Diceros bicornis minor: one gene and its partners. The protein of the gene in region 1 interacts with the protein of each later gene in a biochemical or structural test. Links are inferred from orthologs where the notes say so. Each region holds a gene or a part of one and is shown in the gene's direction. Other genes may lie near its edges.

What was found.
Region 2: the proteins of CUL2 (region 1) and CDC34 form a complex in vitro, tested with the Homo sapiens proteins (2 studies listed by BioGRID). The link is inferred for Diceros bicornis minor from reciprocal best matches to the Homo sapiens genes CUL2 and CDC34.
Region 3: of the proteins of CUL2 (region 1) and DCUN1D5, one has a biochemical effect on the other in vitro, tested with the Homo sapiens proteins (2 studies listed by BioGRID, with this or other methods). The link is inferred for Diceros bicornis minor from reciprocal best matches to the Homo sapiens genes CUL2 and DCUN1D5.

What each region holds. Positions count from the first base shown.
Region 1 is NC_080775.1:32,877,366-32,885,323, reverse strand, and holds the start of CUL2 (cullin-2), read left to right. Parts: upstream 1-4,880; 5' UTR 4,881-4,992; intron 4,993-5,096; exon of another isoform or gene 5,097-5,226; intron 5,227-5,381; exon of another isoform or gene 5,382-5,508; intron 5,509-7,958.
Region 2 is NW_026691553.1:212,562-220,514, forward strand, and holds the start of CDC34 (ubiquitin-conjugating enzyme E2 R1), read left to right. Parts: upstream 1-4,906; 5' UTR 4,907-5,011; coding exon 5,012-5,188; intron 5,189-7,953. UniProt on the Homo sapiens protein: E2 ubiquitin-conjugating enzyme that accepts ubiquitin from an E1 ubiquitin-activating protein, and catalyzes its covalent attachment to other proteins by an E3 ubiquitin-protein ligase complex. In vitro catalyzes 'Lys-48'-linked polyubiquitination.
Region 3 is NC_080746.1:31,997,048-32,004,331, forward strand, and holds the start of DCUN1D5 (DCN1-like protein 5), read left to right. Parts: upstream 1-4,237; 5' UTR 4,238-4,491; coding exon 4,492-4,577; intron 4,578-6,733; coding exon 6,734-6,825; intron 6,826-7,284. UniProt on the Homo sapiens protein: Contributes to the neddylation of all cullins by transferring NEDD8 from N-terminally acetylated NEDD8-conjugating E2s enzyme to different cullin C-terminal domain-RBX complexes which is necessary for the activation of cullin-RING E3 ubiquitin ligases (CRLs).

The sequences.
Region 1 (7,958 bases):
AGTCTGAGAAGCTAGCTTCACCAATATTTTCTCCTGTCAATCTAAATTTAGAAAGAGAAAACTCACCACTCTCATTTCCATTGGACCCCGCAGGCAGATATCCGGGAGATTGACATGGTAAGGACTCTCACCTCCTGCCAGCTCTTGTCAGGGTCCGAGATCTCCCCACTGCAGTCATCCAGGAGCGAGCTGTGTCCAGCCAGTGAAATTTTTGCCCCACGTTGGGCGCCAAAACTGTCAGGGGAGAGGGAGAATCCCCTTCCGCCCTTTCTCTTCTGGTTCTTCTGGCTGGCCAAATAATTAACAAGACAGGTCAGCAGGAGAAAATAATACCAAGTTTAATAACATGTATACATGGGAGAAACCAGGGAAACTGAGTTTCTCAACACAATCAAGAGATTCTCGCCTTAAATACCAGCTTCAGCTAAAGACAAAGGAGGATGTTGGGGGTGGCGGGAGTCAGTTAAGGGAGATTACCAGAAAAGCACAGTAAACAAGAGTAAGGTTATTATGCAGATTTAAGGCCTCACCTTCCACATTGATAAGTTTATAGAAATGAGGTCATCCCTCCTCTTCCCAATACAGAGAGGGAGATACCTTTACAAATGGAGATTTTCCCTTATGAATGTAAATGTTTGTCTGGCAACTCCTTGCAGGGCCACCTAGAGAATATGGCCAGAGACAGAATTTTTGATAAGATGGGCTCGTTGGTGCCTTCCTATGGTAACATCTGTTTTACATTGTATTACCAGCATCAGATAGTAACTCCTTCCTGGAACAGGTCTTCTATGTTAAATTCTTTAGGCAGTTAGTGGGGGAGGTCAAATGTCTGTCAGAGAAAACAATCAAGGTAAAGAGACATATTTCAGGGTGGCCAACTCTTGATCTCCCATATCCTACTGCTTCACTTTCTTGCTCACATTTTTCTAGCTTTGGCTAGTGGGAGCTCTTTCAGTTGCCTCCTGTAACCTTTGACATACCCTCACCAATGTGGATGTTTTTATTTTTGAGCACTTCCTTACTTTCTTACACTACAAGATTCTCCCGGCTCATCTTGTGTATTTCCTGCCCCAGCCCTACAGTCAGATATTTCTCCAAAGAGGAGTCTTGCATTTTCTTTTATAAGCACAACACAGCTCTTTGGTTAGCTACTCCAAACATGAAACCTGTTCTTCAATATCTCATTTGTTTTAGTTTACTAGAAGCAAAAGGTGGAAAAATATTTAATAAATGATATAACCAGGAAATGCAAATTCCTAGTAAAGATTTAAGAAAAGATGATTCAGATTTAGTATATAGAATATAAAAATGAGACAAATTATTTGAAATCATAAATATCGCAGCAAAATCAGGGCTCTTTGGATTTTATATCTATAAAGGAAGCTTATAAAGACAGCAAGTAGTTCTGGTTGGACTCCTCAAATAATTAGTACAGGGAGATTATGAAATGAACTTGGAAATTTTTGAAAGAAAAAATTATGTATACTCACAAATAGAGAATGAATAGAAGTGGATATACTTTGTTTACCGATTTATGTAATGACATTTTAAGATTTCTACTTAAAATATTTTTCATTAATTTTCCTCTTTAAATACTAATTTATAAATTACTCTGCCTGACTAAAAATTATTTATGTTCTCATAAAGATCAAAATCAGGAAGATTTTGAAGTAGCTGGCTACAAAATAGCATATCTATAATATGACCTGATTTGTGTCAAAATATTTAATAATATTCATAGAAAATATCTTGAGGAGTATTTATCAAGCTACACATGGTTATTTATCTCTGTAATATTGGTAGTTTTTTGTTTCTTTTTTACAAAAAAGCATTTATTACTTTTGAAGTCACAAAAAATATAAAGGAATTCAATAAACTTTACACAAAGCCAAAACACATTTTTAGAAATATATGTAATTTTTTCTAAAAAGTAAAACAAAGAAAAGATTCATGGATAAACTAGAGTTTGAAGTTTGGTTTGGAGGTAAAGACCAACCATTGCTTTAAAGTGGTGGCTTGAAGTGTTGGCCAGAAAGGAAACTTTTTTTTCTTGAAGGAAGTTGCAATCTCAATTTAATGTTAGGGGCTTGGATGCTATAACTTTTTTAGAAATGTCATTTCCCTATTATATAGGTTGAATAAGTTAGGAAGAGGTGAGAAGTCTCTGAATTTAGAAATAGTGGGGTGTTATGGCCATTCATGCTTGGCACCCTTTGTGCTAGTCCACATCTCCAGCTAGAGTTCAAAAGGAAAGTGGTGAGAGCGGATGCAGTTCATGAGTTAGAGCAGGGGTTCTCAAACTTTTGGTCTGTGGACCACTTTACACTCTTAACAATTACTGAGGAACTCAAAGAACTTATGCTTGTGTGGGTTATATGTATCAATAGGTACCATATTAGAATTAAAAAGAGGATTTAAAAAGCCCTATTTATAAATTAAAAAATAATAAACCCAAACACATTTTAACATAAATTGCAAAGTTTTATGAAAAAAAAAACATATCTTCTAAAATAAAAAAAATTTAGTGAGAAGAATGGCATTGCTTTGCATTTTTGCATATCTCTAATGTCTGGCTTAATAGAAGATAGCTAGGTTCTCCGTGGTTGAAGTACATGAAGAAAATAGGAGGCCTTAGTAGGAGAATTTAATGGTCTTTTTGGATAACCGGTGTGTATTCTTCTCTGATACTACAGAAAATTTGACAAGTGGTAGTTTCTTAAAGATTAGTTGCCATGAGGAATCTGAAACCATATCAAGTCACCTGTGTACTCGGCTTTTTTTGTGTGTGTACACACACACACACCCCTATCTACCAATTGGTCTCTCTTGTATTTTGAATGGATCTTTTATCCATGTGTGATTTTATAACATCCTGCATTGGTCATTTGGAAAATACTGTTTTATTGTGTCATGTAGATCTTCCATATGTTGACATATCTCATCATACAATATCAAAAAGTCATATTCATTAATAGCACTACAGTCTCATCAGAAAAGTCTTTAAGCTATCAAGCTTATAGTGGTGAACACAAGTTACCCAAATTTTCAAATTTCACTTGAAAGCTAAATTTTATCATTGACAACAAATACTCTCAGCTGTCTTGCTTGAAGTATTAAGCTCACTTCATTCATTTTGGAGAAATATTTGTCAATTACCAAGTCAGAGTAACATTAGTTTATCTGTTGTTCTTTCAAGGAAAAATGGTGTTCCATGACAAAAGCAGCTAGGTCAGCTTGCAACTCAGCTACACAAATGTTTTTCTTCAAGACAACCATCCTACTTTGGTATGGAGCTAAAGTGTGTACTTCCCATTTCTTCACACAGAATATTAGAAAGAGGTGTACTCACGGCTGAAATTTATAAAATTAATACTTTTTACTACTTCATCAAGGATATTCCTAAATAGATATTCTAAAAAACTGGTTTGGCAGTGTGGAGTGGAGTGTGTGGCAGCAAACAATACTGTGATCCATTGACCACTGGGACAGTTTTGTGCAACCCTCTTGGTTCCCGCTAAGGCAACTTCAGGGGTGTTACTACTGCTTATCACCATAAGTGTAAATGTGATAAAAAAGATAAAAAACATGTTGTATCATTATGAAGATTGTTTTTAACCTTGGGACCCCTGGAAAGGTCTTGGAGATTTCCAGACATCTGAGGACCACACTTTGAGAATTGTTGAATTAAAAAATGGAAAACATGGGGCTGGCCTGGTGCCATTTAAGTTTCAACGCTCTGCTTAGGTGGCCAGAGAATCTCGAGTTCAAGATCCCAGGCGCAGATCATCACACTGCTCATCCAGCCATACTGTGGCGGGGTCCCATATAAAGTAGAGGAAGATGGGCACGGATGTTAGTCCAGGGCCAATCTTCCTCAAGCAAAAAAAGGAGGATTGGCAATAGATGTTAGTTCAGGGACAAGCTACCTCACACACACACACAAAAGATGGAGAACATGTGAGAAAAAAGGTCATATAATGGAAACAAACCATTGAACTGAATTTAGTATATAATAACTTTATTAAAATAAAGTGTACAGACTTCAAGTGCCATGAGAAGGAGATAAGAGATTGCTTCTTAAATCTTAAAGAGTGGTGGGATTTATCACCTTAGGAGACAGGATTTAAGTGGGCCTTGAAGGATCAGTACAAATAGTCTGAAGAAAGGGTTGGAAGGGAAAGTCTTGCTCAGAACGTACAAATGAAGAACAAGACTTTGACCACTGAGATATGAAAGACAAATAAGGAATAAAGCCAGGCTTTCGTTCTCTTGTGGTTCTGTGTAAATGAGGAGATGACTAGTAAATCTATATTTTCATCAACATGACCAAATTGTAAGGGAGGAAAACCCTTTCCAGGGATATGATAGTGCTGGTGGTGGGGAATAAGTGCTCAAGACTGTGAAGAGAAGTTCCTTTAACGAAAATACATTTATGTATCATTATTTGTCTATTGATTAAAAACCCACTAGAAAAGGAGTCTGTCAAAGGGAAAAGCAGTTTTGCTGATATATTTTTGATCATTTGAAAAGCCCATGGAAGCGTGTGGCAAGGAGGCTGTGGTGTCTCAGAATATTCACGTAGCTCTGAAACAACTCACAGGAAAATACTTTTGTTGAAAACGCCTTTCTGACACTTTTCGTCAGCGAGTAGCCGCCAAACTTGGAGGGCCCTGACTACAGCCTGGCGCTTGCCTCGTTAACAATCAGCACCGCACGCAGCCCCTTTAGAGACTGCTCCCCGAGGCCTTTCGCCATGCACTAAGCCGGGCTCCCTGCGCTTGCCGTACGCGGACCCTACCACTGCTAGCGGAGGGGGGTTTGGAAGTGGCGGAAGGGAGACCGGAGGGAGGGTGTCAGGGAAAGCCGGCCGCCCGGAGAACGGCCGTTTCACGGACCCCGTAACCAGCCCGTCCTCCCCTCCCCCTCCCCACGCCACGTCCCGTCCGGGAGCGGCGGCGGCCTTGGCTTTGCGGCGTTCGCGCGCGGTGGCAGGTGAGCGTCGGGCGCGCGGGCTCCCGGGCTGGGCTCCCCCCGCGTCTCCGGGCCGGTGGCGGCGGCCGGCGGGGAGGCGGCCTCGGCGCACAGTAATGGCAGCGCTGTGAGCAGGGGACGCGAGCTGACAGCCGCCGCCGCCGCCCACCCTCCTCGCCGGGGCTTCGTCCTTCACGCCTTCGGGCTGCCTCCCCCTCCCCTTGTCCCCTGCCCCTTGTCCCGCTTCTGCAGCAGGTAACCCCGCTGAGGGTCGGGGAGCCGGGCTGCAGGCGCCGGGAAACTTCCCTTCCCGGTTCATGGGTGGCGAGGACGGGGCGGAGGAAAGGAATTGGGGGCGAGGAGCGGGGAGGGGGAAGGATGCAGGGGGCGGCCAGCGAAGACGGTGTCCTGTGAGTGACCCCGGCTCCCTGGAGCGCTGACCCCTGAGCCCGGCCGCCCCCTGGACTGGATCCCGGGCCTCCCCAGCCCGGCCTTGGCCGCCCCTCCCTCGGCCCCATTTTCCTCCGAAGGAGGGAGGTGAGAGTGCGTGGACTCCTCTGCTTATTTACGGGCTCCCACGGATCCACAACTCTGTGTGTCTGGGTTGGGGGTGGGGAGGAGGGCATCAATTTCTTACATCCTTACCACGAGTATTTTCACTTTTGTTTCCGCCGACAGGGAAGATTGATAGCTTTGGGGAGCAGTATCCTAAGGGCATCCGTCTCAACACTTAGGATCTGTGAAATAAGAGCCTCAGACTCTCTTTAGAGCACTTAGTTACACACTGGGGAGTCTGGACCATCCCTACCACCCCACGAATGCGTGCATGTAAATAAAACATCTGTGAATTGCAGGCTGTTGTTATTGTTAAATCCTCTCTTTTCCCCCATGGATTACTATTACCAGTAAAAGGGCAGCACCTTGGAAGTTTAAATTTTGAAGATAGTAAGATATAAACTACTGACATTCGCTGTAGGCTAACTTTACAATATAAAAATCTTTGAAAGAGACCTGTGCCAGACCTACATTCATAGTAAAATATGGGAAATAATCACCTTGTTCTGATTGATTACTGACTACTTAATAGACATTTAAAAACACTTAAAAGCCTGTTCCCTTCCCTTTAAAATGTCACATTCTTTTCCAAGATAGACAAATGAGCAAAATTGGTTATACTTGGCCTGTTTTGCCCAAATACAGTGTTTGGAAGACTCTTCCAAAAGAGTCATAAATGAAATAACAGATGGACACAGCGTTTTGAGTTATCCTTTTTTTTTCAGATGCTGTTTATAAGTTGGGGGAACATTTCTACACTGTGGGTGCACATAGTGTGTGAAAAATGCCTTTTCTTTGTATTTGAATGTGTCCGTGCATCTGAAGTACTCTTGGTTCACTCTCCCCCCTCTCTGATGATTTTTGGTGTTTTATAAATGTGAAGATAGTTTATCCATGTCTTTTATCCTCACCCATCTGTCACTAAATTAAATGTTGTGGAGCTTCTTTAAAGTCAGTTTTGCCTTATCTATCAGTTAAGTATTTATCAAGCACCTGGTTCGTATGCCAAGCATTGTTGCAGGCATTTAGGGAGACAGCAGTAAACAAGACACACTGAAATTTCTTCCCCCCTGGAGCTTTGATTCTGGTGGGAGAGGGAGAGACAGACAATAAATAGGAAATAAAAATATTTTCAGAGAATCACAAGTGCTATGAAGGAAATAAAATAGAGAGTTATGGTAGTGACTGGGAGAAGACTACTTCAGATGCTGTGGTCAGGAAAGACATGTCTGAGGTGACCTTTGACCTGATATCTGCGAAGGGAGAAGGATTTAGCGTTTGGAAGTCTGAGGGAAGAGTGTTCCTGTCTGAGAGAACAGCAAATGGAAATGCCCAGAGGTGGTATCGAGCTTGGGTTCAGCGAATGGGAAGAAGTTCATTAAAGGGGCATCCTAGTGAGAGCTAAGTGGGGAGGTCCTAGCCAGGGGCCAGGTCATGTGATGTCTTACTGTCCAAAGGAGTTTGGCTTTTATTCTTAAAGTACATTGAAAAGCTATTGGAATTTTTGTAAGGCTGGGAGTGATGTGGTCTGACTTAGAATCTGACTGTTGGGAAGATTGGGTAAGAGGAGAAAAGAAAGACCAGTCACTACTCCTCTCAAAGCTGACTGAGTAGAGTAGTGACTGGAGTCAGTAAAAGAGATTTTGAGATATGTCTGGAGTTAAAGGTATTTACTGAACTTGTGGTTTGGCTGGGGGTGCAGTTGGTTGGGACAGGGGTGACTCCTGGGGTTTTGGCTTCAACTGGAGGATGGTGATGCCATGTATTGAGATGGGGAAGACGTGAGGGAAGCAGGTTGTTAGGGGGATAGAACTGGATTGGACGTGTTAAGTAGGACCTATTAGATGTTCAGGTAGAGGTGAGAAGTAGGCATTAGATATACAGGTCTGGAGTTTAGTGGAGAGATTAAGGAGTCATTCATTCATTCAACAGTTATTTTTCAAGCACCAGCTATGAACCAGGCAGTGGGGATATAGCAGTGAAAAAATAGACAAAAATCTCTGCCTTCAGGAAACTTAGATTCTAGTGAGGAGAGAAAGAGATGGAGAGTCATCAGCATTTATTTGTTGGTTTATTATAATTATATTTTGAATAAAAATTACATTCACATGATTCAAAATTTAAAGTGTGATGGGGGTATAGAATGAAAATCTCCCCTGTTTCTTGTCCCCCGTCTCCCAGTTTTCGTCTCCCAGTTTTCGTTGGAGCCAAGCAATGTTAGAGGTTTCTTACGTATCCTTCCAAAGATATGTTTTGTGCACATATAAGCAAATATGTATATATTCTCTCCACTCTGCAAAAGTGGTAGCATACTTGACCTGCTTTGACACCTTGTATTTTTTGGAGTATTAAATAGTATTTAAAAGTTATGAAACATGATGAGACCACCTAAAGAAAGAATGTAGAAAGAAGAGGAGAAAGCTCTGGGGCTC
Region 2 (7,953 bases), on another chromosome or scaffold:
GCCTGGTAGACTCGTGGGCTAAATAAACGATTGATTTATTGATTTATGATAAAAGCCCGAGTTCTGGGCTCGTCTGTTACGCAGCAGTGGTAGCCGGAAAATTAACAAAGCTGCCCTTCAGTAAGTGTTCGCGGTTAGTACTAGAGTATGTCACCAGCCCACGCGCGGGAACGCGCCCGAAGCATCAGCATCTGTGGCCTCGGGCCGGGGACCGCACATCCAGGAAGCAGCAGGGGACAGATGTGGGTGAGGCCGGGTGGACCTTCTGCGTTAGTCCCGAACTGTCCCCGAGGCCAGGACAGGACTCACGGCCCGGGCACCCTCTGGTCAGCTCTGTGGTCCCCGGGCGACCCCTGCCTCCCGGTCATCAGAACCAGGCAGGGCACTGTGCAGTGGGTGTTGCTGGTGCCACCACATCCTCATCGCAGGTCGCGGCTGCCCCTCGAGGGAGGAGGAGCCACACAGCCCAGGAGGGTCCATGCCTCCTTCCGGGGCAGACGTCCCCGGTGAGTGACACCGGGGGCACCAGAGCCGGCCCCGTCGCCTCAGGTGGAGCTGTCGGGGGGCAGCTCACGCTCCAGCCCCCCATCAGGCTGAGGGGACCCCAGCCGGGACCACCTCCCTGCCTTGTCCAGCTCCCCTCACCGTCGCCGAGTCACCGCCACGCCCGGTCGCGGGTCCGGAAGCCCCCTGTTGTCATGATCCCCACGTGACCTCTGCCGGCGCAGCCCCGGGAAGCCGCCCCCTCCTCCTCGCCTGGCCTCGCAGCAGCGTGGACCATGGAACCTCCCGCTTCTGGGAACACCCACTTCCCCGTCCCCCACCGGCCCCATCTCGCGGTGGTCCCTCTGCTGCCCCCGAAGGCTCCTCCTCTTCCCAGCTCCCCAGGGAGGGCGTCCCCTGGCTCCGTCTGGGGCCTCTCCTGTCCTCACCTCGTGCATCCTCATCCCCTGGCCTCTCTCCAGGCCCTCGGCTTCAGTTACGGCCCCGGGGGCGCCAAGGCGTCTCACATTCATCTCTCAGGCCCGGCCCCACTCTGCTCCAGCCTGCGAGAGCCAATCGCCTGCTGGGCGTCTCCTCGGGCACATCTCAAGTGCATCCCAGGCCTGCCACGTCGGGGACAGAGCCTCTGGTCAGCCTCCCTGATCCCGGGGCTCCTCTGGGTGTCTGGTCTCTGAGGAAGCCCCCAGTCCGCCCAGACACCGAGGTGGAGATGGGGGGGCTGGGCTGAATGCCCCCCGACCCTCAGCTGGCGGTGCTCTGCATCCTGTCGGTTGCGCCTCAACTCCATCCTGCCTGCTCCTCCTCTGAACTGGTCCAGCCTGCATCCTCATCCACCTGGGCGACCCCACCAGCCAATAGGAGTGCTCCCGGCACCCTGGCCCCAGTGATTGGTTCAGGAACAGCATGTGACTCCCGGCTGGCCAATGAGACGCAGCCCTGGGATTTTTTTCTGGGGTGGCTGAGCTGGGAGGACCCGGGCCCGGATTCTGGAGCCATCTTGTCACCACGAGGCCTGCAAACAAAGCCAACACTCAGGAAAGCTGAGCCAAGAGACTTCCCAGCTACTTTTCTGGCCTCTGTCCCCTCACTCTGCCCCAGGCACGCTGGTCTCTAGCTGGTCCGGCTTGGCCCTGCCTCAGGGCCTTTGCACGTGCTGTTCCCTCTCCCTGTGACACTGTTCCTCCAGACCCACGTGGCTCACTTCCTCACTGCATTCTAGTTTCTGCTCAGATGCCACCTCCTGACCACCCACTCAAAATAACCCTCCTGTGCCACCCCCGTTGCTAACACCTACCATGCTGTATTTTTCTTCATAGTAATTATTGCTATCAGAAATTGCTGTTTATTCATCAGCTTGTTTACAGCCTCCCCGAGGACAGGGATTTCTGCTCCTTTTGTTCACTGCTGTGTCCTCAGTGCCTAGATTTGTGCTTGGAAGGCCATGAGTGAGTGAATGACTTAATGACTGAATCAATTTTCCAGAGGAGGAATCTGAAGCCCATAGAGATAAGTGTATTCAATTCCTATGGGTGTTGTCAAAAGTTACCACAAAGTTAGTGACTTAAAGAACACGAGTTTACTATCACAGTTCTGGGGGCAGAGTCCTAAAATCCAGGTGTGGGTAGGGCTGGTTCCCTCTGGACGTTCCAGGAGAGAATCTGTTTGTTGCCTTTTCCAGCTTCTGGAGGCGCCACATCCTGGGCTCAAGGTCCCTTCCTCCATCTCCGAAGTGCATCTCTGCCCCGTCGTCCCATCGCCTGCTCCGCCTCTGACCCTCCCGCCTCCCGTGGCATTACACAGGTCCACTTGGATAACCAGGGTACTCTCCCCATCTCGAGGTTCTTAATCTCATCTGCAAAGTTCCTTTAGCCACGTGAGGCAGCGTACCCACAGGCTCCAGGATTAGGACGTGGCGTCTGGGGGGGCCCTTATTCTCCACCACAATAAGTAACAGATGGCACAGCCAGGGAGAGGCAGAGCTGGCTTTGGAGCCGGTTCTGTAGCATCCAAAGCACACCGGCCCCGTAGCCTTTGTCTTCGACTCCACGTCCCTCTCCCCTCAAGGGGCCACATTCTCTCCTGTGCATCCCTTTTTACTTCACCCCCGCAGCCCCTCCGCCTCGTGAGATCATGTGTTTCTTCCCAACAGGCATAATTGCAGTAAAAACACTATCGTCTCTGTCTCTATAACATTCTCAGTATCTATGCCGAGAGCTTTTCAAATATTATTTCATGAAACCCATTTTACAGATAAACTGAGACTTGCTTTAGCATTTGAGGACCGTTTTCAAGGTCACAGCCGAACTCAGATTTGAATGCAGGCCTCTTCTGTGGCACATGGTGGAAGGCCCAACTCAAACTGGCTTCATAAGAAAAGAATTTATCAGCTTGCATCATTGGCACATTCAGTGGAGGTCAGGCATGGCTGGATCCAGGAGCACAAACAGGGTTATCAGCCTTTCTGGTCAGTCGAGTCAGCTTTCCTGAGTGTCAACTTTGTTCACAGGCCTTGTGGTGATGAGATGGCCCCATAACTCCAGGCCCAGGTCCAACCAGCTCAGCCACCCCAGCTCGGTGTTCCCAGAAAAAGTCCCAGGGATGGCTGAGTCATGCTGTTACTGAACCAACCGCTGCAGCCAGGGGGCCTGGGGAACTCTGATTGGATGACCCATCCCTGCAGCCAGGCTTGGGGGTCAGTCCAATTCCAACCCTACAGACTAAGAGTGAGGATCCCCCCCCAAGGGAAAACCGAGGTGCTGTGGCCAGAAAACAGGTAGGCAGAGACCCCAGATGTCCACCACCCCGGGGACATTTCCGAGCCTGAGGAGCAGGCTTTCCTGGAGGACGAGGCCCCACGTGGGACCAGCTGGAGAGGCCATAAACCCGGTTTACATCTCCAGTTCCACCCCACCCACGCAACAACCCCCCTGGGATGTGGGGTGCTGTAGGAAAGATCTCAGGAAACCTCTCTGGAAGAGTCATGATTAATCATTATTATTCATCGACGAGCTGCCACATGCCAACGCTGTGACACTGGCGCCATGGGTGAGATGAGGGTCAGAGACACCTGAACATCTGGCAAAGGGCACACAGCCCACCTTACAGAGGACGGACCACTTCAGGTCCCTGGGGTGCAGGGCAGAGGGCCAAGAGATGAGGCCCAGCTCCCCTTTATGGATCAGAAAGCCAGGGTCCCGGCCCTGGGCAGCCATTGGAAGCTGCTGCTCTGCCCAGGGCTGGCTCAGACTCCTCCGTCCCTCCCACCGCTGACATTGTTTTCCTTCCCCCACACGGGGTCGCCTGGCTGTCCCCAGCTAGACGAGGCCAGGGGCCAGGCGTTGGGGCACCTGGGGGAGGGAGTCAGCTCAGCCCAGCCCAGGTGTTGCAGCTGTTGGCTGCCCGGGACACCTGCCAGCACCAGGGCCACGCCCACCCTCCTGGGGAGCCGTCACCTGCAGATGGGAGGGATGGAGGCCAGGTGGCCACGCCCACCCTCCTGACCTAAAGTACTAGCGCGGTGGGGGGGGTGTCTGGGACCACCCTCAGCCAGGTCAGAGCTCAGGCGGATCCGGTGAAGCCCAGGGTCAGGGCTAGCTGGGGTCAAAGGTCAGCCTGAGATCAGGGCGCAGCCCGGGTCAGGCTCAGCCTGGGCGTTCGGCCGGGATGGGGGCTGAACGGACGCCGAACGGGGAGGAGGACTAATTTCCAGTTTCTCGGGGAAGCAGCGTCAATCTCCTGGGATTCCAGTTCGTCGAGGTGAATCAAGTCGAGGGGTAACTTTGGGGTTTCCCCGCTGACCCTCGGGTCCCGCCGAGCTCCGCCCCTCCGAGGGGAAACCGAGGTACCGCCCGTGCAGGACGCCGTCTGCGGGCCGGGCCTCCCCGCAGCGGCCCGGCTTCCTGTCTGCCCGCCCAGAGCGGCCGGCGGGGACCCACGGGGAAACTGAGGCTCGGGCAGCGGGGTCCGGCCGCCCCGGCCCTTCCCTCCGCCCCGCCCCGGCCGGCCCCGGCCTGCCCCGCCCCGCGTGGGGACGTCACAAAAAAGGCCCCCAAGGCCGGGCGGGCCGGGGGTCTCAGCCCAGCTCCGCCGCCTCCCCGCGCACAGGTCCGTAGTCGTCCGCCCGGGCAGCAGCGGCCTCCGGGGGTCGGAAGCGCAAGGCGCCTGCGCACTCGGCCCCTGCTCCTGCGGCCGCTCTCGCGTGCGCGGGGCGGGACTCCACTTCCCGGCGTGCCCCGCGAGTGGGCACGCAGGCGCGGTCGGGGCCTGGGTTGGCGGCGCGCAGGCGTGGTCGGGACCCGGCGGCGGGGACGCGCAGGCGCGGGCGGGCGCGGGGTCGCGCAGGCGCAGCGGGGCGGGGCGCGGGCCAAGGGAGCGCCGGGCGGCGGCGGCGCCAGAGCGGGTGGAGCGCTCCGGGGCCCCGGGCGGCGGCGGCGGAGAGGAGGAGGAAGGCGGCCCCGGCCCCGGCCCGTCCCGCGCCCCCGACGCGGCCCCGGGCCCGTCCGCCGCCATGGCCCGGCCGCTGGTGCCCAGCTCGCAGAAGGCGCTGCTGCTGGAGCTGAAGGGGCTGCAGGAGGAGCCGGTGGAGGGCTTCCGCGTGACGCTGGTGGACGAGGGCGACCTGTACAACTGGGAAGTGGCCATCTTCGGGCCGCCCAACACCTACTACGAGGGCGGCTACTTCAAGGTGCGCGGCCGCCGGACTCGGCCCCCCTCCTACCCAGGCCCCGGACCCTTCTCTCCCTTCGCCCGACCCTCCTCCCCCGGCCCCGGATCCTCCTCCTCCTGCCCCGGCCCCGGCCCCTCTTTCTCGTTCCCCTGCCCCGGCCCCCGTCTCCTGGTCCTCCTCCTGCCCCTGCGCCTCCTCGCCCGGCCCCCTTCCTCTTCTGCCCTGGATCCTCCTCCCCCGACCCAAAATCCTCCTCCTCCCCTGGCTCCGGACCCTTGTCCTCCTCCCCCTGCCCCCGACCCCCCTGCCCCGACCCCGGATCCTCCTCCTCCTGCCCGGGTCCCGGACCCTCCTTCCCCGGCCCCGGACCCTCTTCCTCCTCCCCCTTCCCCTGTCCCCCTCTCCTGCCCCCGTTCCTCCTCCCCCTGCCCCGGACCCTCCTCCCCCGACCCCGGATCCTCCTCCTCCCCCGGTCCCGGTCCCCCTCTCCTACCTCCGTTCCTCCACCCCCGGGCTCCCTCCTGCTCCTGTCCCTCCTGCCCCTGCCCCCGCCCCCCTCCTCTCCTGCCTTGGTCGCTCCTGTCCCTGCCCCCAACCCTCCTGCCCCGACCCTGGATCCTCCTCCTCCCCCGGCCCCAGCCCCTCTTTCTCCTCCCTCAGCCCCAGATCCTCCTCCCTTCCTCTGCCCTGGACCCCCTCTTCCCTCCTGTCGGGGCGACCCCTCCCTTTTCTCGGGACCGAACTGTCCTTTTTCTCTTGAGGTGACTGTCCCTCGGTCCCATCCCTCTTTCACCGGCCCCAGATTCCCTCCTCCCTTGGCCAGACCCCCCTACCTCAGCCAGACTCCCCTTTCCTCAGCTGCATCGCGTTCTCCCTCCCTCTTTTGGCTGGACCTCCTCCTTCCTCAGCTGGACCTTCCTCCTTTCTCTGCCAGATTCCCTCCTCCCCCGGCAGGGCCCTCCCCACCTCAGTCAGGCTGGGGGACCCCTTGGTGTCCCCTGACGTCCGGCCCCAGGAGTCCCCGAGAACCGGGTTCCCTTGAAGGCCGCTTCAGGCCCCCAGAGAGGAGGCCGGAGCCCCCTGTTTGTTGGATGCGGGGTTTTGCTTCCCTTCTCGCTGGGAGGCTGGGCCCGGTGCCCCGTCTCTCCGACCTGGCTAGCCTTGCAGGGAGGGAAAGGGAGCCGTGGCCCACCCGGCCGCCAACTGCCCCCCTGGCCTGCCTGGAGGACAAAGGGAGCTCCCCAGAGGCGGGAGCACTGTGGGGGCCGCAGCTTTGGGGAGGAAGGAGGGAGGGAGCGAGGCCAGTGTGGGGTGACTGCCTGGCCACTTGCTCGAGCTCCCACAAAGTGGCAGCAGGACGCGCTTGGAGAGCGGCCCCCCGGCTGAAAGCAGGGCCCAGGCCCTCTGCTTGATCACTGGGCTATGTAACGTGTCTCTTTTGGGGGGGTGGAGGCCGCCCCTCCATCCTCCGCCCTGTGCCTGCAGCCAGCGCAGAGTGCGCCCCCAGGCCCCAGCTCCTGCCAGCACCCCGGTCCTGGCTGCTGAAGCTGCGCTCCTCTCGCCCTAACGGGCCTTTCCTGGGTTCCACAGAGCAGGTGGCTCCTTGGGGCCCGAGTCTCACACTCTGGGTCCTCTCCACTGTCCTCTGCGGTGTCTTAATTCCTAGGGGTTCCCTGTTGTTGGGCAAGTGCTTCCCAGGCAGGCTGTACTTCTGTCTGGAGTGAGAAGGGACTCGGGCCCAGATCTGGGCAGCGTTCTTGGTCTAATGGTCTGAGCCCAGCCATGGCCTTGGAGCGACCCCGCTCATGTGGAAGCACTCTGCTCTTTGAGCCTGAGGGACAACGCGGGGGTCTTAATGTGCGCCAGGTGGGGAGTGAGCCCTCAGCGCAGGAACCCCCTGTCACGGCTGGCCAGGAGCCCCACACTGCCCTGCCAGGTCCTGCCAGGTCTTGCTTGGCTGGAGGCCTGGGTGGGGAGCAGAAACCACAGCCCGGCCTGCTGCAGGGCGGGGCGGGTGCTGCTGGGTAGATGTCTATGTTTGCACTTTGGGCTAATGGAGCAGCCTGGTCTGCTGGCGTGATCCCTGAGTCGAGGTTCCCTCGTGCTGGGTGGGATGAGGGGACGAGTGTGGACCGCCCTGGGCCAAATTCTGTGTCTGCCACCTGGCCTCCCCATGCAGGCAGCGGATTTGGTCACTGGTGTAACCAGTGCCCTCCTCAGCCTCTCTTGTGTGCTTCGGGACAGCTGGCTGTGAGGATGAGGGTTCAGAGCTGGGATAACGGGGTCACCCCCTGAGGCCAGGCCAGGTCTCCGAGCAAGGTTGCCTGTCTGGGAGGAGAGGACGTGGGTCTCTGGCTATTGCCCAGTAACTGGTTGCAAGGGGTTGTGGGTAGAACTGCCAGGTTAGCGATGGGAGTCATGCTGTTGCTCTAGAGAAGACTGGAGGCTTCATTTCGTCTGCCGTAGGGTCTGTCCTCAGAGAAGCCAGCGTGAGACTCAGCGTGGTTCTGCTGCCGACTGGGCCCTCCTGTCCACGTGCGGGTGTGTGGGGGTGGGGAAGACTCTCTTCGCAGGAGATGTGGAAATACAGGGAGTGGGAAGTGCCCATGGGCCTCCATGGGTCACTTCCGCCTTCCTCTCGGCCAGCCCGGCTGCACCCACTTCTCCTTTGCGAGTCATAGACGGGCCCCTGGGAAGTGCGGTGTGTGAGGGGGCTGCCGGGGAGACCTGGGTTCCAGAGCCCCTTCCGCACCTCGCTTGTCGTGTGTCCTTGGGCACAGTGG
Region 3 (7,284 bases), on another chromosome or scaffold:
TTACAGACAAGTTGCAATGATAATACAGAAAGTTCCCATATATCTCACACCCGGTTTCCCCTATTATTAACATCTTACATTAGTATGGGACATTTCTCACAATTAATGAACCAATATTGATTCATTATTATTATTATTATTTATTAGACTCCATTCTTGACAGGGAGTGGCAAGGGTCTAGAAGAATATGTGGGTTGAGAGATATCATTTCAACCATCTTTAGAAAATACAATCTACCACAGTGAGGTATACGCAGAAACTAATCTTATGCTTTTCCCTACTACCCCTTTAAAACTACTCTGTGAACTCATTCATCCCTGGATCTTGAATAAAATCTCATTCCAATACCATACTGTTGTAGACTGTATTTACCTTTATTTGGTGCCCCTCTCTGCAAGAGGATTATACATTCCTATCCTGATGAACTCAGGAGTAGCCTCAGGTGTATGACTTAAAGAGAAGTGATACACGTCACTTCAGGGCAGAACCTTTAACAGCCAGCATGGGGTTCACCGTATTTTCCTTTCTGTCTGTCGTGATGACAGGCAATGTTCCAGATAGTGGCTACTTCCTCAGGCTGGGTCCCAGAGTGCACCAGGCCCACAGACAGGCTGCAATTGATGTGCTCTAGCACACTGCTTTAGGAGGTATGGGGTACGTGGTGTGACATAGTTCTGCACTGTTGGGCCTCCCTAAAACACAAGTTCTCATGGGCTTTATTGAAGCTCCAAAACAGAAAGTCCTGTTTTAACATCCTATTTCTCTGGGTTTATGGGTATGAAAATATTTTACAAAATTTTGACTTACAAGATTGTTTTGAAAATCAATGTTAATGTATGGAGAGTATTCGTATAGATCCAGGACTACAGTAACATGTGGCATCCCACAAATCACTTAATTTCTGTGTTGCTTGTTTTTCTGGCAAGTGGAAATGCCCTATTTTAAGGTGGTGGTAAGAAAAAAATGAACTAAAATAAAATAAACAGAATATATAAATTAGCACATTTTAGGGCACTATTTTTGGCTGCTTTAATACAGATACAGCTATTTTAAAAGCTGTTTTTCCTGGCTTCATTCTATAACCCCCAAGAGCTAAGGGGTATGTATATAACCAACATGTCAAACAGATGACAGAGCTATGGCCCAGTCAAGTCTTTTTGCCTACTGCTCTATTTCGCATAAATATACATCCACTGTCATTACAGATTGATATTATTTAGTTATTTTTTTCTATATCCTTATATGTAACAGTATGATAAGATGAAGGATAAAGGAAGTTATGTGTCTTACCTAAGGGCACTGAGTGTCTTCTTTGGAGTTGAAACCAGAACACATGAGTTTCTGCTTAAGGTAAATTCTTCATCCCTTCCTTTCCTTCTCATTACTTTCATTAAAAAATTCTACTACATGACAAAGAACCACAGTACTCTGTCATAGTTTGTTTCTCCATTATAGGTGCCTTCTTGATGGAAAATAATGTACTATCCATGTGAGCAGCAGCAAAGATTAAAACTACATAACTAGGCATTTCTATACTGCTCACAGGCAGTGATGCTATCAATATGCCCCTTCTGTGAAAGTAATTGGGATGATGGAATGCTCCATTTTGAGAATGGAGGTATGGTGGTGGCAGTAGGTACTGATCAGAGAAGGCAATGAAGAAAACAGTCTACATGACCCTGGAAATCACCCTCTCCTTAATATTATTGACGAGTATAGATTACTGACCCTATTCTTTGTTCATAAAGTTCTCTTAAGTACAAATAGGCTGCTGCTTTATATTTCCCCCTCCAAACTGTAAGCTTCATGAATGCAGGAGTCATGCCTGCCTTTATATCCCTAAATCCAGCACAGTTCCTGGTTTAAGTGATCATTAAATATTGTTTGAATAACAGACTGGATGAATGAATACCATACATAAACCCAGTCTTTTATCTATTTTTCAGAGAATTCTACAGATGCAGGTAGGCTCCTGTCCAATCACTGCATTCAGCTGAATCTCCAGAATCTCCAGGTGTGGTGGGGTCTTCTTCCTTAGGTCTAGAAGTAGTTCTTTATGGTCCAGTGACCTATAAACTAAGAGATAATTATCTGCTCCCCACTCTCATGCAATAAACAACAGTGGAGAATGGACACAATAACCACAATAAATATTCCTATTTAGAGAAGAATGGAAGATGTGCAATAGTCACTGGTCCATAGCAGTGCTGGTATCCTGCTAGACAGGCATTATGAAGCTTCCTTACCCCTTAATTAGGCCTTGATTCTGCTCTCTGGAAGGATATCCCTCTGAGGTCTTAGTATTTATCTTTTAGAATTTTATTCCATTTCCTTTGTCCTATTTGGGGAAAGGCATGTTTAGCTTTTGCAGCTCACTTATTGAAGAAATAAGCTTGGTTATTTCTAATGGTGTTTTGTCATGTCTTTTTGTTTTGTTTTGTTTTTTGGTTCACACTTTTTTTTATCAACTTTACTGAAGAATAATATTCATACAATAAAGGGCATACACTTTTAATTGTACAGTTCAATGAATTTTGACAAGTATATACACCACCACCTAAATCGAGACATAGAATATGTCTATTATCCAGAAACTTCCCTTGTACTTCCTTGCAGTCTTCCCCCTCCATCCTCATCCCATTCCAGTCCCCAAGCATCACTGATGCTGTCCTGTAAATAAGTTTTGCCTGTTCTAGCATTTCATCAATATCAGCTAGTGTTCAAATTCCCAATTGCCTCATAAATGTCATGATATTGTTTAAATTATTTGAATCAAGATTCAAATAAGACATATGAAAAATGATATATCTTTTAAAATTTCTTTCTCCCACTCTCTTTATAATAATTTGTTATGGAATCTGGGTCATTTTTCCTGTAGATTTTCTGACAATATAGATTTGCTGATTGCATTGAGTGTTAATATGTTCCACCATCCTCTACTTACAGATGGCATTTCTTTTTAGAGACTTGACCTTATTCAGATTTGATTTTTTGGCCTCATGCATTTTTAACTGCGTTGTGGGATTACAGCATTCAAGAACAATATTCTTTTGGTTGTAAGTAACAGAGAACTTAATTGCATAACCAAAACAGTGAGATTTATTGCTCATGTATCTGAAAATTCCAGGGCATACATAGATTCAGGGCTCATTTCATAAAATCATGTCTTGGTTTTTGTCTTTCTGCTTGATTCTGGTCTCTTCTGAGTTTTGGCTTCATTCTCCACATCCTCTCAAGTTCAGTCCATAGGAAATAAAGTTGCTTCCTGATGGTTCAGTTTCATATCATGGCACTGACTAGCAGGTCTTGAGTCATGTGTCTGTTCTGAACCAATTAATGACACTAGGGAAATATGATATTCTGATTGGCCAGGTGAGGGTGCCAAGATGGAGGTAGTCTCACCAGAACCTCATCAACTGTTATTGAGTTTAAAGAGACTTTTAGTCCTCTACCATCACAGTTGGTTTACAGATGTGAACTTATTTTACATGTATATATTGAGTAAAACGACTTTCTACTATATAATCTTTACATGCAGTAACCTTTATTTATAAACAATATTTTCACTGAAGTGGAGCTGGAGTGATTGCAAGTGTACTGGGTAGTAAGGATTGGGGGGAGGCCCCTTAGAATTGTCCCCCAAATTCTCTTTACTAAGTCAGCGATCACGTACGCTTATCTGAAAGGTGAGCTCTGTGGAAACAGAAATGGTAGAGCTAAGTTTTAACAAGGGGAAATGAGAAGCAGAGGTCAGGGATGATGGAGAAATGGAGGTGGGAGAGCGGGAGGCTGATCGCCGGCCCGTAAAGAAAACAAGCATTTAAGGGGTGGGGAACAATTAACGTGAGGTTACCGAATGGAAGAGCTCAGAAGTGAAACTTGGTTTACTTTACCAGGTTATTTGTAACGCCAACTGCAGAGTATTAGTGGTTTCATAAAACATTTCTTGAGGGTGACTACCAGCCTTAGGACAGGATGGAAGCTTCGTGAGAAAGGTCGGGATAGCCTGGACAACCAAAGACGGTCAACTGGCCACCAGTTCACGATTTCTCCACTCCTGGCAGCTACGCACCGTCGCTCAGCCTGGCTGACGGCGAGCCAGGGCCAACCGGCGCCACGCCCCTCCCGGCGACCGGCTCTGAGCTTGCGTCACTTCCGGTCCTGGGCGATTCGCTTCCAGGTCGGACTGAGTCTCTTGCTCTCGGAATCTGTGAGTGGTGGCGGTGCCGCGCTGTCCGCGTTCTCTCTTCCCGGTGTGACCAAGCTGCAGTGTCCACCGGCGAGGAGTACCCGCTGCCCCGAGCCGAGGAGGACGAGGAGGAGATCTGGGAGCGAGCGGCGGCCGGCCTGGGCCGCTCTGGTGGGGGCTGGCGACTCTGCTCCTTCACTTGCTGCTGTCTCTGGGAACCGGGTGTCAGCACTGAGGAGTCTTCAGCGGACAGCGATCCCCTTCCCCGGCTCCCCTGCCCACCCTGCCGGGGAGGGCGGAAGATGCCAGTGAAGAAGAAGAGAAAATCCTCTGGGGTGGCAGCGGCAGTAGCGGAAGACGGAGGCCTGAAAAAGTGTAAAATCTCCAGGTACCACCTCCCCCCACCCTTCAATCTTTCCTCCTTCCTCCTTCGCCGGACGGCAAGGGGAGAAGGAGGCGGGCCTGGTCTCCGGGGCTCGGGCTGGGGAGAGGTGAGCCCACTCTGAGAAAGCTAGGTGGTGGCTGCAGGACACCGCGAGTGCCTGCGCCGGCTCCACCTCGTGTTCGGTGTGTGCGCTCTGGCGCCTATGGAGGGACTGGAAGTCTCCTCACATTGGAGTCTCCGTGCCCTGGAGGGTGGGGAAACAGGAATGCGTACGTAAATTGCGCTCTTTCCCCTTACCCGCTACACCCTCAATCCCACCCCACCCCCACCCCCACCCCCACCCCCTGGCCTTCTTTCCAGACCTAGAAGTGAGTACAGATCCGCGGAATGGTCACTTCTAGAATTTCTTTGTAGAGTGTGAAGAAAGGAGCAGAGCATGAGGACTCTTGACCTGACAACTGCCATGGGGATGGTAGAAAGGAAAGCTCCCTGTGCTATAATTGATCTCCGGTAGTAGTTGGAGTGGTCTAACCCGGATGATCCCAGCAGCAGGCCTTTAAATCGCAGGAGCTGCATTTTCTGGAAGGATAGCGCCTCCACCTGCGCCAAGTCCCTCTGTGCAGAGTTGGAAAGGCCCTGTATGCGTTTTGTGTTCTAGCATTCTGCTGTTAGTTCTCAATATAAATATTAATAATTTGAAAGCTATTGTACTCTGTATCCTCTTGGAGAAAAAGAAAACAAAGCAAAGCTATAGTTATAGCTCTTTGATCCCATTGTAGCATGTCATTGGAGCATCGCAGCAACCTTGTATGCTGCAAAAAATCATTGCAATTTAGGCGTGAGAAGTGGGTTTTTTAAATCCGCTTATTGGATGTCTTTGGCTGTATCAGTGGTTGGCACTTGATGTGACAACTTTAGGTGCTGCTATGAAAAGAAGACTAGCCAGCGTTATAAAGAGGAGATTATAATAGAGCTCTCCTTAAAGAGAGACCTGCTTAAAATGTGAGGTCGGTGGCTTATTTAGTCTGCATCTTCTTTTCATAATTGGTTAAATTTTTTTCCTTCATTATTGTGTTTGGCAAAGGAGCCTAAGGATATTTCTTGGGCTGTTACTGTGAAAGATGGTGCTGTTTTCATATCCCTCTTGGTAACTCACACTAGAATTTAACATGGTTACTCCACTAGCTCATATTTTTATGAAACTTACAAATTAGTTTTTTATTATTCTAACTTGTAGTCATCTTAAGTGTATAATGTATCAAAATTATTTAAATTGAGCACATTAAAATAGCTGAGCAGTCAATATTATTAGAACTCAGGTGATACTTTGCTCAATCAACTTAAAATTTTAAATATAGTACCCTTATTTTACGTTACGTTACATTACATTAGTCAGTTGCAGAAGTTATAGCATTTCTATGTTATGGTGGTGTAACTATTTGAGCTTCTTGAGAAGGTTCTCTGAAGTTCATTAAATCCTATGGCCATTTATGAAATTCCTAACTTTTAATGGTTTTATGAAAAAGATAAACAGACTCTGGGATTAAATAGCTTTGGCCCAATTATTTGTACTGTTTCTATCTTTTGGAGTTTTTTGTTTTTTTTTTTTTTTAATCTGTGGAATTCAATTTTACCCATAGGTCGTAAATCATCTTTTATCTTTAAATATCTATTTAATCTTAGTTGATGATGAACAACTCTTAATACATAATTTTATTTTGAAATATTGATTCATTAAGTATCAAAATATACTTTGTAAGATTTTGTTTTCAAATGTGTACCTATTATACACAAATATAATTTTCATGCAAATCAGCAGAAGGATCACTGGAAAGATTTATGTTTTCCCAAGTACCAGTCCTGCATTGAGAACATTAGGTTGAACTTCTGTGTGGTCTTTTGAAATTTGGGGAATTAATTTTAGTTGATATTTTTGGAATTTGATAATGAGCAAAGTAGCATTTGGGTTTTGTTAGCCAGAAATTTTAATGTACTGTTTCAAATTGCAAATACTTAACAACTCCAATTTTTTTCTTCTAATGCCAGCTGTAAAAAAAAATACTTTGTTTAGTTTGAATTGAAGTAGTTCATATTGAACTTAGCTTTTCACTAAAAGTTGAGACTTGATAAAATTCTTAGGCATTTGTGTGTTTTCTAAGCTATTGCAGATCCCAACCCCCTGCTAGACTAATAAGTGGAGAGGAACATTTTTCAAGCAAGAAGTGCCTGGCTTGGTTTTATGAGTATGCAGGTAATGAAATTAATATAAGAAGATATCGGTCACATGCTTTAAAACGGTTTTTTGGTTCATTATTTTAACGAATTATTTATTGCAGGCCTGCTATGTGTTAGTGCTGTGTGCTGCAATCAGGGTCAAGGCTGAGAATTGTGGGTAGGCTAAGAATTTGGTGCCATTTCAGGCTGATATTTTCTGTAAATATATAATTCAGTATATATTTAGTAGGAGGGTTGAAACTCATTTACTGTTAATACAATTTGTAAGCAGACACGTTCACTTACTGGTTTACATCCATTGACTAAAGTGGACTTGGTATTCTGGAAAACACAAAGTATGTAATAAAACATTTTATACGTTATATAGTTCTTTTCAGTATTCTTTTGAAATTTTTCTGAACTAGAAACTGACATTTTCTGACACTTTTAGGAGACATAGTAAAAAATTCAAACCTCAGGGCCGGCCCGGTAGTGT